2 linked regions of the Rhinolophus ferrumequinum genome follow. The main gene of each other region encodes a partner of the protein of the gene in region 2 in a complex. Links are inferred from orthologs where the notes say so. Each region holds a gene or a part of one and is shown on either strand. Other genes may lie near its edges.

The links.
Region 1: the proteins of SCML2 (region 2) and histone H2A.J are in contact, whole or in part, in a crystal structure (PDB 4EDU), measured with the Homo sapiens proteins. The link is inferred for Rhinolophus ferrumequinum from reciprocal best matches to the Homo sapiens genes SCML2 and H2AJ. Residues at the interface, in NP_006080.1 of Homo sapiens: Asp182, Asn185, Tyr187, Leu188, Cys190, Phe206, Trp209, Phe213, Pro239, Pro240, Gly241; in NP_808760.1 of Homo sapiens: Leu35, Arg36, Lys37, Gly38.

What each region holds. Positions count from the first base shown.
Region 1 is NC_046293.1:29,040,966-29,046,063, forward strand, and holds histone H2A.J, read left to right. Parts: upstream 1-3,863; 5' UTR 3,864-4,017; coding exon 4,018-4,407; 3' UTR 4,408-4,570; downstream 4,571-5,098. UniProt on the Homo sapiens protein: Core component of nucleosome. Nucleosomes wrap and compact DNA into chromatin, limiting DNA accessibility to the cellular machineries which require DNA as a template.
Region 2 is NC_046284.1:112,684,334-112,692,074, reverse strand, and holds the start of SCML2 (sex comb on midleg-like protein 2), read right to left. Parts: upstream 3,019-7,741; 5' UTR 2,936-3,018; intron 1,870-2,935; 5' UTR 1,842-1,869; coding exon 1,806-1,841; intron 1-1,805. UniProt on the Homo sapiens protein: Putative Polycomb group (PcG) protein. PcG proteins act by forming multiprotein complexes, which are required to maintain the transcriptionally repressive state of homeotic genes throughout development.

The sequences.
Region 1 (5,098 bases), on a different chromosome or scaffold from region 2:
TAAGACCTTACGGTCAGGCTTGGTGGCTTCCTTACCCAGCCCTTTGCCGCCTTTACCTGGACCATACATTGTTGTAGCAGTGTCTCACCTGAACAAAATAGCAAACAGCTAGCAGCAGTTCCGTGGGATTAGACCAGGGCTTGTAGTTCTTGTGGCCAACAGGTTCTAAAACATCCAGAAAGTGGGCAGAGCTCTAGGCTCTAGGCGACTTTAACCCCCTCCCTACCACAGTGAGTCCAGTAAGCAGTAAGCAGAACTAGACCGATTTTTTTGTTTGTTTGCATTTTGGGGAAAACTTTTTCTTATTTTTGCCATAAAATTGAGGAAAGACTCAATAGAATTTATATTGCCATTTCTCAACGCTTAAAACAAAGTAGGCCAGATCCTTTGCGCGCTTGGTTTCTCTCCCTCCTTCCTTCTCTCTATCCCCCACCGCCCCGATCGCCCTTGACTCTAAGTCAGGTGCGCTCGAATTCTAATTCTATTTTTCAAATGGAATACTTACTCTTATGATAACCATTCCCAGGCTAATGTGAAAATCAATAGTAACTAGCAATGCTTTACATCTTGTTAGCTTTCAAAGCAATTGCTTTACAGCTTTTCACCTGTGTATCTTTTTAAGTCACTAGTGGGGAAAGAGGAAATTTTTTAATGGTTCTCTTTTGTGGCCCAGTGGAGAATTAAAATTCTTTCAAAAGGTCTAAATTTCCCCTCTCGCCCTCTCCAGACTTTTCTCTTGCAGCTTCATCTGCATGGTTGGCAGATTTTCCTGACTCCTCTGTTCCCTCTCACCCCAAGTGCCTATATGCTTTTCCATCAAATATCTATTTCTATGGTTATTTAGTTGAAATACTGTAAATTTCTTATTTCACTGAAATCTGTGGTTTTGACTTCCACTTAAAAATTCAAAGTTCTTATAAAATAATGGATGCCATGATTGTGGCTTTAAACAGCGGTTTATACTACAAATCCCCAATTAGGAGGTTCTCTATCATTTTCTTGAGAATCCCTGAACAAAGATGAAACTCGGTAGTGTCACGGCTCTAGAAGACAGAACTCATCGTCCCAAAAGGTTTCACTGTGAAAAAAGGCAGTATTTAGAGGATGATTTAAAACTCTTTCCTAAGTACTTAACATCTTGAGTAAATTGTGCTCCCTGTCCCTACCTTTCTAGCATGAAAGCTTTATGGTAAATATTTATTATATATCTAAATGCTTATAATTTACCCATCGCCGTAACACAAAAAGTACTTTTTTGTTGTTGTTGTTAAAGATGAATTTAAAAAGCCCTTGGAACACCAGATGGCTGAAAAACAAAATCCTGAATAGTCTGTAGTCACACAGCAGCCTATCCAACTGTTGTCCCCCCGAGGTTTTCCTTAAGGAGAGTCTGTGAGACTGTGCCTTTCTGGGGACTCTGCTCCATCCTTGTGTTTATACCTATGTCTCTCTATCTGGTCTCCAAAAGATGGTTTACAGCCAAAGACGGGTAAGATATCTCACGGGAGATACAACCCAAGTCAGGCGGAACCGAGTGGAGACCCCCGATGTAATGCCTTAGAAAAATATGGGAAGGGGCCTTGCCTCCCCTTCCCCCTGCCTTGGAAAAGCCACTGCTGGCTCTGGCTTTTCTCTCGCACCTGTTTGTGAGAGAAGTCGTGAGGACAAAAAAGATCAGTTCTGTCCACTTATCTCAACAGAACTGTTACAATATGAGAGACTTGTCCCTGAGAGGGTACATACCGTAATTAAGACATCATGGAACCTGGTGCTTTGGCTGTTTACAGACAAAGGGTGATTGGAATAAACATTTTTCTGCTATGATGTATGAATCTCACAGACCGTGTAAGAAACAATGTGACTTGTATGAGTATCAATAAAAGCCTCCAGTCGGTCCAATTCGGGGCTCCAGTCCTCTGAGACTGTGAGGCCCCCTCGTCTTCGGAGAGATTTAACTACATTAAGTCTCTGTTTCTTTCTTAAAAACTTAACCCAAAGCCGCCCCTTCTCGCACCCTCACTGCAGGTGTTGCGCTGGATGCAACAATAGTCAGATAGTACTATATGATTTTAATTCTTGACTCAGTGAAAGAAAAAAAGTCTATCAAATCTTGAAGAGTCAGGATTCTTATAATGGTAAAATAGGTTGGTTTATTTATATTTATATTTACTATAAGAAATCAAGATTTGAACACTTTCAAGTTAGAAATCTCTCTTGCTTACAAGAATAAAAAGAAAAACAGTGCCAATAATAATCTGTTAAAATTTTCCATGATATAGGGAAAAATTTAAGCTAAATTTACAGAACACTTTCCAGGAACATCTTATTAAAAACTGCATCAGAGATTTGTATGTCCATTTATTCAGTTTATCTAACAGTTATTGGATGCTTACTAATACATTTCATCTTCATAACACTTTGGGATAGGTACAGGGGTTAGATAACTTATCCAAGGTCAGCTGGTAAATGATAGAGCCAGGATTTGGACCCAGCAGTCTGGATCTGGGATGACCACCTTAATCATGATAATATACTGCTTCTCAGATCCAAAGACATTTATTGAGTCCAGAGTATAGATAGGTTAATCATAATGCTAAGGAGTAAGGACATATATATATAAATGGTTGAAAACATTACTTTAGTAAAATTAAATCATTAGAATGGCGAGAGGATCAATTTGTTTTACATTTAAGTGGAAACTATAATCCATATAAAGTATTGTTTATTTTAATAAGTATTTAACATTATATCACGTAGCCATGTAATTTTATAATTATAGAAAATGTTGAGGTAAATTAAATTATCTCGCTGAGTTAGTAGAAATTTCTACTTCAATAAAATTAATTTTGTTCCAAATGCTGTGGCTCTGCAAGGAAAATTGCTGACGTTCTTTCTTCTTTTAGTCTTTTCATGACCTCTGAGCGCCACCGGAATGTCTTACAAACCTTATCCACCTCTGGGATCGTCTACAAGGAGACTCTCATAGTCTTCGTGGAGAACGTGATCCTAGATGCCCAGTGACCAACTAGGCTAAAAGGCAAGGCTAAGACGGCCTCAGCAACTGAACTCAGCCTGCCGGCTCTTCTGGAATCCAGAGCCTATTTTCAGGCTCATAACCTCAAAGACAAAAGATGTTAAGTTTTGGCTAAGTGAGCTTATTCCTGCCCTCTGTGAAGAAAGCATTCACGTCTAGTCTAGCACTGTAGTTTCTCGTTCCTTAGGAGTCAAGATTGGCAGCCTTGTGAGCCGCAGAGCTGTGGGCGGTGTCCAACGTCATCTGGTCTAGGTAAAGTTCAGATCGCCAGCTCCATTGGAGAAGGCTCAGTTGTAGCCAGCTCTTCACAGTTGGGTAATCAGCAGGAGCCTCGAGGTTTGCAGGAGGCAAGGCACTTGCTAAAAATAACAGGCAATGTACTCTGTTCTGGGCAGGCAGAATTCGGTGTGAGTTTGTGATTTCGTTTGAGGAGCAGTGTTGCCCACAGGCTTGGGCTCTGGAGTTAGGTAACTACCTGGCTAGGATGCTGTATGACGTGAAGAAATCCTCCTCCATGACCTCAAGGGACATTGCTTCCTTGAGCAATTCGTATTTACGGAGAAGACGGAGTAGCTCTTCTTCCGGATCTTTCTGTTTCTAACCACGGTTCCTTCATTCTTAAAACTTTATTTTCCTGGGACCGGGCGTGGACGTTGAAACCTCAGGATCCAATAAACTCAAAGGAGTTCCAAACGCAGAGAACTGGTACCGGCAGATATGCAAATGAAAGTAGCAGTTTGCTTTTTGATTGGAGAGAGCTGGAGAAGGCGGTCCCTCTGCCAGCGCTCTAATTGGGAGTAGAGGCTGCCTATCATTGGTTACTCAGACAGAGGATGTTGCGGCGTCCAATGGGAAGGCGCTGCAAAGTGGCAGCCAAGTTGGTAGAGGCAGTTCCGGTGTGGTGCGTTGCGTTCCTATACTATACCTGAGTCCGAATCGCTGAGTTCTTTTTCTCTCGCTAGAGTTTTCGGCGAGAGGTGAACATGTCTGGTCGGGGAAAGCAGGGCGGCAAAGTGCGAGCAAAGGCCAAGTCCCGGTCCTCCCGCGCAGGCCTGCAGTTCCCGGTGGGCCGAGTGCACAGACTGTTGCGCAAAGGTAACTACGCGGAGCGAGTAGGCGCTGGGGCGCCGGTGTACCTGGCGGCGGTGTTGGAGTACCTGACCGCGGAGATCCTGGAGTTGGCTGGCAACGCAGCGCGTGACAACAAGAAGACCAGGATAATCCCTCGCCACCTGCAGCTCGCCATCCGCAACGACGAGGAGCTAAACAAGCTGCTGGGAAAAGTGACCATCGCTCAGGGCGGCGTCCTGCCCAACATCCAGGCCGTGCTGCTGCCCAAAAAGACGGAGAGTCAGAAGGCAAAGAGCAAGTGACGCCGCCACCGGGGAGCTGGCTTCCCAAGCAAAGGCTCTTTTCATAGCCACTCCGAAGTGTTTTTGATTATGCTAGATGTCTTGGAGAGCCGGCGCGATCTAGTGGGGAGGTGGGCTGCGAGGGAGCCACCGGGGTCGGGGGCCAATAAAGTCGGTGAAAATCGTGTGGTCGAGAGAGCTGTGTAGTCGCGGGGGTCTGTCGGAGACCTCTAGAGCAGGTACTGGTGGGTCGGCTTGAGCTACTTTCTGGGCGGCTTTGGGCCGCAGGTCACCCTCGAGGAGTTATGCGCCGATGAGGGAAACCATGAGGGACCCACTGGCCTGGAGGTGGGCGGAGTTTGGGAGCGTTCCCTGCTCGCCTTTAGGTAAAGAAGAGGCAGTAAAAGGTGCGGATGCGGCGGGAGAATTATTTTTACGGCCTGTTCCCACGGCCTTAGCTCTCCTGCCCTGTCTAAGGGGTTCAGGAACCAGTTCTAGGAAAGAGACAGTGGGATCGAGCTGGTCTCGGGCAGGAAGTTGTCTCTCCGGACGTACTTTTCAAAAGGTCGAGTAACTTTCTGTCTTGGAAGAGTGGCTCTGATGACACTGTGTCAACTTAAATTTTTCTTAGCCTAATAGCTATTGTGTTTTCATGTTTTGGATATCAGATGTTTTTATATACACACTTATGTTCACATTTCTTTAAAATGAA
Region 2 (7,741 bases):
TTTTTCAAGGCACTTTACTATCTATCATCAATTATTTCTCCTTGAGGCAGCGCGGGATTACCCTGACCATTTCAATGATGCGGAAACAGACACCAACAGCAAAGTGAACAGGGGCAGGAAGAGGGGTGATAGGAAGCATCTGGGAGGAACAGGCAGGCAAGGAACAAACCCAAAAGAAAATGAGTCACATCTGGCTTATAGCTGACCATCATAACCCTTAGTTATTTTTGAGCTCAGAGAAATTTCTCAAACATTTTGAACAAAGAAAGTGCTCTAATTTATCAGTGAGTTAATATCTAGTTAACAGCCTTCACTACTTGGTCATAGAAGCAAAGATTTTTAGCATTAAAAATAACCAGTCTCCAGAGCACATTTTGATTTCAACTTATACCAACCATTCATTTTCCCCCAATGTTATCTGTTCAACCCAGAAAATAATCTCTCATAAAAACGTATAGCTTTATACCGTGTTTCCCCGAAAATAAGACCTAGCCGGACCATCAGCTCCAATGCGTCTTTTAGAGCAAAAATTAATAGTAAATTTAATATTTTACTTAATTACAGTAAAATTAAGAACTTATTTCACTGTAATTATAGTAAAATAAGACTAGGTCTTATATCGTATTATGTAAGACCCAGTCTTATATTAATTTTTGCTCCAAAAGACGCATTGGAGCTGATGGTCCGGCCAGGTCTTATTCCGGGGAAATATAGTATAATCCTAACAAAAGAGGCACAAAGTTAATATCAAGTCAAAATATTCAGTTATACCCAGAATTTTGTTTAGAGAATTATGAGCAAAATCCCTGAATTCGCCCTTGAAATAAAACGACTTGTTCTACGTTCATACTGATTTTCTTAGCTATAACCTTGAACTTTTCAGGAATAAACTACTGACAGGAAGCCTTAAGCACCCAGAAACCAGCACACATAGAAGAAGCCTCTGAATAAATGTACATTGAACTGAACTCCATACTGCAGACAGCACAGGCACTTAATAAAGATGTGTTGGTTGAAGCATAAATCAAAAGGACGGACCAACTGCTTCATGAGAAAAACTGATAGCATCTCTTTAAGACTAACTCCTTCCATCACCATGTATTTGATCCCTCGGAGTGAAGAAGAACTGACTCTGGGTGGTGAACACACAACGTGATATACAGATGATGTACTACAGAATTGTATACCTGAAACCTATGTAACTTTACTAACGATTGCCACCCCAATAAACTTTTAAAAAATAAAAATAAATTAAAACGGTAAAAAAAAACTGACTCCAATGTTTTTTGTACACATTATATCATTAGCTTTAAGGCATCTTCACAGATAATGTAGTTCAGTCACATTAATCTTTTTTTCCAAATTATCAATTTCAAAACAAATCTTATTCTCTGGAGAACAGGTATACACCTTTAAGAAACTTGTATGGTTGTGTGATATATATGAAATTTATTTAAAAAGTTCAAAGCCATTTTAAATGGTGTTTAAGTTTTTGAAAACATTCTAACAGACTGTTTTGAAGACTATGGATAAAGCTACAGCCATTATTAGGTGAGTACTCATAAACTCATTTCTTTCTCAAAATCCCAATTGGACTCATTTCCAAAAGCTTATTTTCACATTCCTCCCATTAAATATGCAAAACCACAGAAGAAAAGAACATTCATCCCTGGAAATAGTATTTAATGAGTAATTAAGGAAAAGAAAGGCAAAATTGTTATTACTGAAGAACATTCCCAAGCAGTTATTGATAAATACTATCTCCAATAATTTTGTAAATCTTATGATCATAATGAAATACTCACTTTCCTTACCTCCGTTTCCCCCACTAACCGATCCATCACTTTCTACAGATGTCCCAAAGTCACCCTACAAGTAAATCATAAATGCTAATCTTTTAATTCTTCAAAATAGACGCCGATTTCAAACTGTAATCACACTTTGTAATGCATGACAAATGTTTTACAACCTTTCTTACCTTTTAAAAAAACTCAATAGTTTTAAATGGGAACTTGTAACTAAATACTTGTGCTGCCCCAACATTTTTGGAGAGACCAATTACAGTTCAGCCCTAAAGCTACGTAGATTCACACTAGGATGCAGCACAACCACTGTCCAGGTGAAAAAAGCGAGAACGCTGTCTCTAAAGGAAGGCAGCAATGGTCCCTAGCCCCTCATGCCGCGAAAGCACGCGGCTGCTTCTCAGGAGAGTAGGAACCCCGCTCTCCGTCCCCCCCGCCCCCCACCCCGCCACCAGCACCAGAGCGGGCCGTGCCCTACCGCCCCGCTACTCCCCTAGCACAAGCTAATGGGGCTCCCCTTTGCCCCCACTCCCGCCCCTCCCCCCCACTCCCGCTCCCTTACCCCGTTACCCCGTTACCCGCCCCCTGCCAACCGCCTAGAGCCCGCGGCTCCGAGTCCGACGGGCACCTAGCACCAGTACCCGAGCCACAGCGGCATCCTTCAGAGCTGAAGTTTCCCTCCCAAACTCCAAAAGTTAGTTCACAAGTCCCTGGACAGGCAACCGGGCGAGTTTCAGCCCAAACCACGCACTGTAAGCCCCGCCACCCACCCGCGCCGCCCCGGGGCCCCGGCCCGACCCCACACACCGCGGGAGGATGCTCGGGAGGGTGCTGTCCGCGCTTCAGGTCAAGGGGCGACTAGGAGAGGGCGGCCCCGCGGCGACAGAAGCTGAGGGCACTACGTGGGGTAGGGGAGCTCTGGCCTCCGAGGGTGAGGCCACTGAGGGTGGGCGACAGGGGTGCAGCGCCAAGCTAAGGCCGGACACCGCGGGACAGTAAGGGGGCGTTCCTCGCGCGGGACGCGCCGCGAAAGGTTCCCGGCCACCCGCCCGCCCGCCCGCGGACAACGGCCAGAGCCCACACGCCACCGCTCGGCCTCTCTGGTCCTCACGGGGCCCGGAGTCTCCACACACCTCGGGGATCGTTGGCGAAAGTGGCGAAAATACAGTCACACTGGCCACTCTGTCCCGCGAGCCAGCACCGGTCTTCACACCGCCGCCGCCATGTTCGAGAAGCCGCGCACTGAGCCGCGCATGCCCCGCAACCGCCACTGGCGCCCCGCCCCCACCCCCGGCGGCCCGCGTGCCCTGCGGTTGCCGCGAGCACGCCCTTTGACCGCGGCCGCGTGCAGCGCCCGAGCTGGCCGCCCAGCCGGAAACCCGCGCGCGCAGTAACGGTCGATCAGACCTAGTGAGCCCCGAAAAGCCATTGGCAGTTTTCCCTTATCCTCTTCTCACTATCTGCCCTCCCGCCCAAAAAAAAAAAAAAAGCCAGTCGCAGCCCCTACGTCCAAGACAGAAGTGAGCCCCCACTGTGCCCTCGGAGTGTGCGTTAAGTTCCATCCCGGGAATTCAACCCCCTTGGCCATTGCCTTCGACTCTCGGCCACCACCCATCCTAGCCACGCGCCGAAAAGGCAGGCGCTTCTCTAGAAACTCAAGCAAGTTTGATAAGAAGACAAAAACAGCTCCTTAGAGCAGTTTGAGCAAAGCCACTCCTTCGAGGGTTGCAGCATATACCTTAAAACAGCTTCCCCCCCCCCCAAAGGGTTTTTGCCACGCATTCTCCAACTCCACATTCTCACTTTAGTTGTTCCTCTTAAGCTAACGGAAACTAGATTCACCCAAGGAGAAAATAATGTGCTTACTGGCTGCAAGGTGCTGGAGAGCATCCTCGAGAGTGGGTTTCAGAGACTCCTCTCCTCGATCACGCCACTCCTCTTCTCGATCTCGCTCGTCCCGGTCTGAGCTGTTGCATAAATGAAGGTCTCATTTAAAAGAAGCGGGCGACGTAAAAATAGCCGTAAAACAACCCACGTATCTCTCCGCACAAAACTTAGCTAATGGAAAACCAGGGAAAATCATCCCATCCCTCACTGTGAGGTTGAGTATTAGCAGATTTGAAACTTATTGTTTGAAATACAAAAGTAAACCGTTGGTCGGCGTTCTCTCTCCAACTCTCAAAAGCTGGATATAGGCATTCGTTATTGCCTTAGTTTAGTATACAGGTCATGATGTGTTCTTTAAATCATAATTTCGGAAATCAGAGCATAAAACTTAAAAAAAAACATGGAATATATCTATTTAATACAATGCGTAATGAAATTATTTTCATATGCAACTTTTGCAATATTATGCAAGATCCAAATTAAAGTGGTTTTTATTGTATCTAAACATTGGCATTTGGTACAATATCAAATTGCTCAGATTGTTCTTGAATTCTTTTAAAATGAATGAAAAAAGTGTTAATGCAAAATTCAAGAAAACTAAGTTGAAAATAGAAAAATTAGGCCATTAATATACAAATATTAAAGAGAGATTTGATCGTTCAAGTATATAATATATATCACATAGGAGAGAATGTTGAAATGTTCTAAGATGAAGGTTCAAAAATGTTTTTAAAACCCAGAAAACTATCTTTAACAGAAAGGAGTTAAACAGGTTCAAGCTAAGCAAACCCTTAGTATGGGTTACAGCAGGGCTGGGGGGAAGGGCGACTTAAATTATTAATTGCTGGCCACTGTAATCCTGAAGCAATGGAAATATTTGAAATTCATCTCTACATTCGATATATGAAAGATTTAGGTTTTTTCATTTATGCTTCTTTTACAAGTATGGACCTTTTATTAAGTTGTAAAAATAATACTGCTCTGATTGTTAAATTGCATCTCACGTATGGCTCATCTACTTCCTATATTTCTGTTTTTAACATGAAATTACTGAAGCCCTTACTCTAAAAGTGTAATTCACATTATATATATTACATCTTAATGACTATGTTCACCAAAGCATTTATAGAAGTGTGACTCTGTTATATATTAATTGTTATTGATAATGATAACAGCTACCCTCTATTGAGCACCTACAGTGTGCTGAGAATCATGCTAACCTCTTTAGATACATAATTTTCAATATTCATAATGTTCTTTCCCAAAGTTCATATGAGGTAGGTACCCTTATTCCCATTTTACAGATGAGCAAATTGAATATTGCATAGCAAATAAGTGGTAGAATCAGCTTCTGAACATATACTCGAACCTTTCTGAATTATCCCTCCCCCTTTGTCATCAATCGTATGCTTTCATCAGACTATTAACATTCAATAATAATTATTTTATTTACTTATACCCTTCTTTTCCTTTTCCCCTTTGCCAAAATAAACTTAAGACCACTTCTCTCTTTTTTTTTTTAACAGGACTTTATTGGGGAACAGTGTGTATTTCCAGGACTTTTTTACCAGGGAACAGTAGTGTTTTACCAGGACTCATCAGCTCCATCCAAGTCAAGTTGTGGTCCTTTCGATCTTAGTTGTGGAGGGCGCAGCTCAGCTTCAGGTCCAGTCGCCGTTGTTAGTTGCAGGGGGCGCAGCCCACCATCCCTTGGAGGGAGTCGAGGAGTCGAACCGGCAACCTTGTGGTTGAGAGGACGCGCTCCAACCAACTGAGCCATCCAGGAGCTCAGAGGCAGCTCAGCTCAAGGTGTCGTGTTCAAACTTAGTTGCAAAGGGTGCTGCCCACCATCCCATGCGGGACTCGAGGAATTGAACTGGCAACCTTGTGGTTGAGAGCCCGCACTCTAACCAACTGAGCCACCTGTCCGCCCCAACACCACTTCTTAATGATGTTAACATAGGTCGGGACATCACTGTTTCTTTTACATTATATGGAAGCACCTTGCACACAGTAGGAATTTGGTAAATATTTGTTGAATGAGTGAATGGGTGACTGAATATCTCCTATTATGACATTTAATTAATTTTGCCTAGAAAACCTGAAAATAAGATTATTTGAACTGAAAGAATAAGAACCAATGAAGGTAAAATCTAAGGTTTCATGATTATTTTTCCAGCCTCAGATTTGATTCTGTTGATCTGCTCCTACACTTCTCCTGACTCAGCCCAAAACCTGTGATAATCTTAAAGAAGATCCATCATCCACACCGAGCCCAAATCCAATGCAAAATACTCCCGTATCTCAAGTGTGTTTGATTACTTCTTTTTGTGCCTTCTTTAGAGTTTCATATTAGTCCATCAGAATGAAAAAATGATTTTCTTTCCTAGATAAGCAAATTTAATCTAGATTCCCATCAGCACACATGTTTATATTGAAACGATATTATTTGCACAGGTAAAGTTACCATCTTAGAATGATTATCCCTTTAGTTGTCCCACTTCATGCTCTCCTTTCTCCCGAAAACACAGATGCCTAACCAAGCCTCACAAGAGACTAGAGATCCAAGGTGTTCCTGGTAAACTTTTCATCTTAATGAAAATATCCATATAGTAGGTATTACATAACTGATAAATTAATTAAAGTAGTACCTGAATTTACAAACATCTTCAGATCTTGGTTCCGACAGATTGCCCCATAAATCAAGAGCACATATCAGTAAGATAGTCGTAATTTTTTTTTTTAGTATTGTTAGTGTTGGCTACAATAAACCTCTTTTCCTAACTGCAAAATGGTAACTTCCTTGAAAAAATATCAAGAGGTGAAGTCCGTGATATGAAAAAAGAGACGTTAGTCTAACAGAAAACTATGCCTTGTCAAAAAGATCACGGCTGCATGAGGAGGTCTGAGCTCTTGTCTTGAATCCCGAGTCTATCATCCACTAACTAGGTTTCTTTATGATCTTTCCATGCCTCAGCTTTTTTTCATTTTAAAAATAGGGATAAAATCTGCCACACTTACTTCACAGATGCAAAAATGCTACTCAAATCTATCCGAAGACCGCATGGCCTTTGCTTAATGGATCCTCACACTTCTTTAAAAAATATAAATGAGTCTTCTACCAACAAAATGTGTGAGATCTAAGCTGACTTTGGCCAAGGGAAGTATTTTACATGCTGTGAAAACTGGCATAACCTAATGAACATTATATACTACACACTTGGCCATTATTACATTCACTCAGTTCTTCAAACACCAAATATTTATTGAATGCTTGTTGTATACAGCTTTGCTAGAGGTGGGGATATTGAGATGAATAAGATAAATTGAACACTCCAGGAATTTACACCCATTCCCAAGTGAGGTGAGGGGGGAAGATTTTCAAAAGAACTAGGATCACTTATCACCCCCTTCATCATAGCAAACATTTAATACTGTATAACTAGATGAATGGAAATGCAGCAGACCAGTCCACATAATCTCCTTCGGATATTTATATAAAAATATTTATTAGTTTTGACTTCACACTTTTTGTGCTGGTTATTCTCCATTTGCACCATCCCCCAACCCCACGCATTTTCCCACTTCTTCCCCTTCCTCTGCCCTGGGGGACTTACCTTCAGTAGTACATCACTCTGGCTCTTTTGTCAGCTGGTTTGGCCAATGGTAGGTACCATCAGGAGTGACTGAAGCCAAGTTGGGGAGGAGGTTGGGGATGGGGAGAGGGAGAGAGACAGAGACAGAGACAGATAGATATAGAGAGATTTCTTCCGCACTCCCTTCCTTCCTGCCTAGGACCTCAGCCTGGCAGTGGCAGTGGCTCCACAATGACAGCTCCTGGCAGAGGCTCTCCTCTCAGGGGTTGGTTCTCACTGGGTCTTCAGGAAGGGGGAGGAGCAGGTACAGCTTCCAGTTTCCAGCTTCCCGTTTTTCCTAATCCCTGGGCAACGTCAGCATCTGTTGTTAGTTCCCATAAACCTACCCCACACCTCTGTCAATAATTCACTCAATTCTCTTCAAAATCACATATGACTGTACCTTCTGTTCCTGCT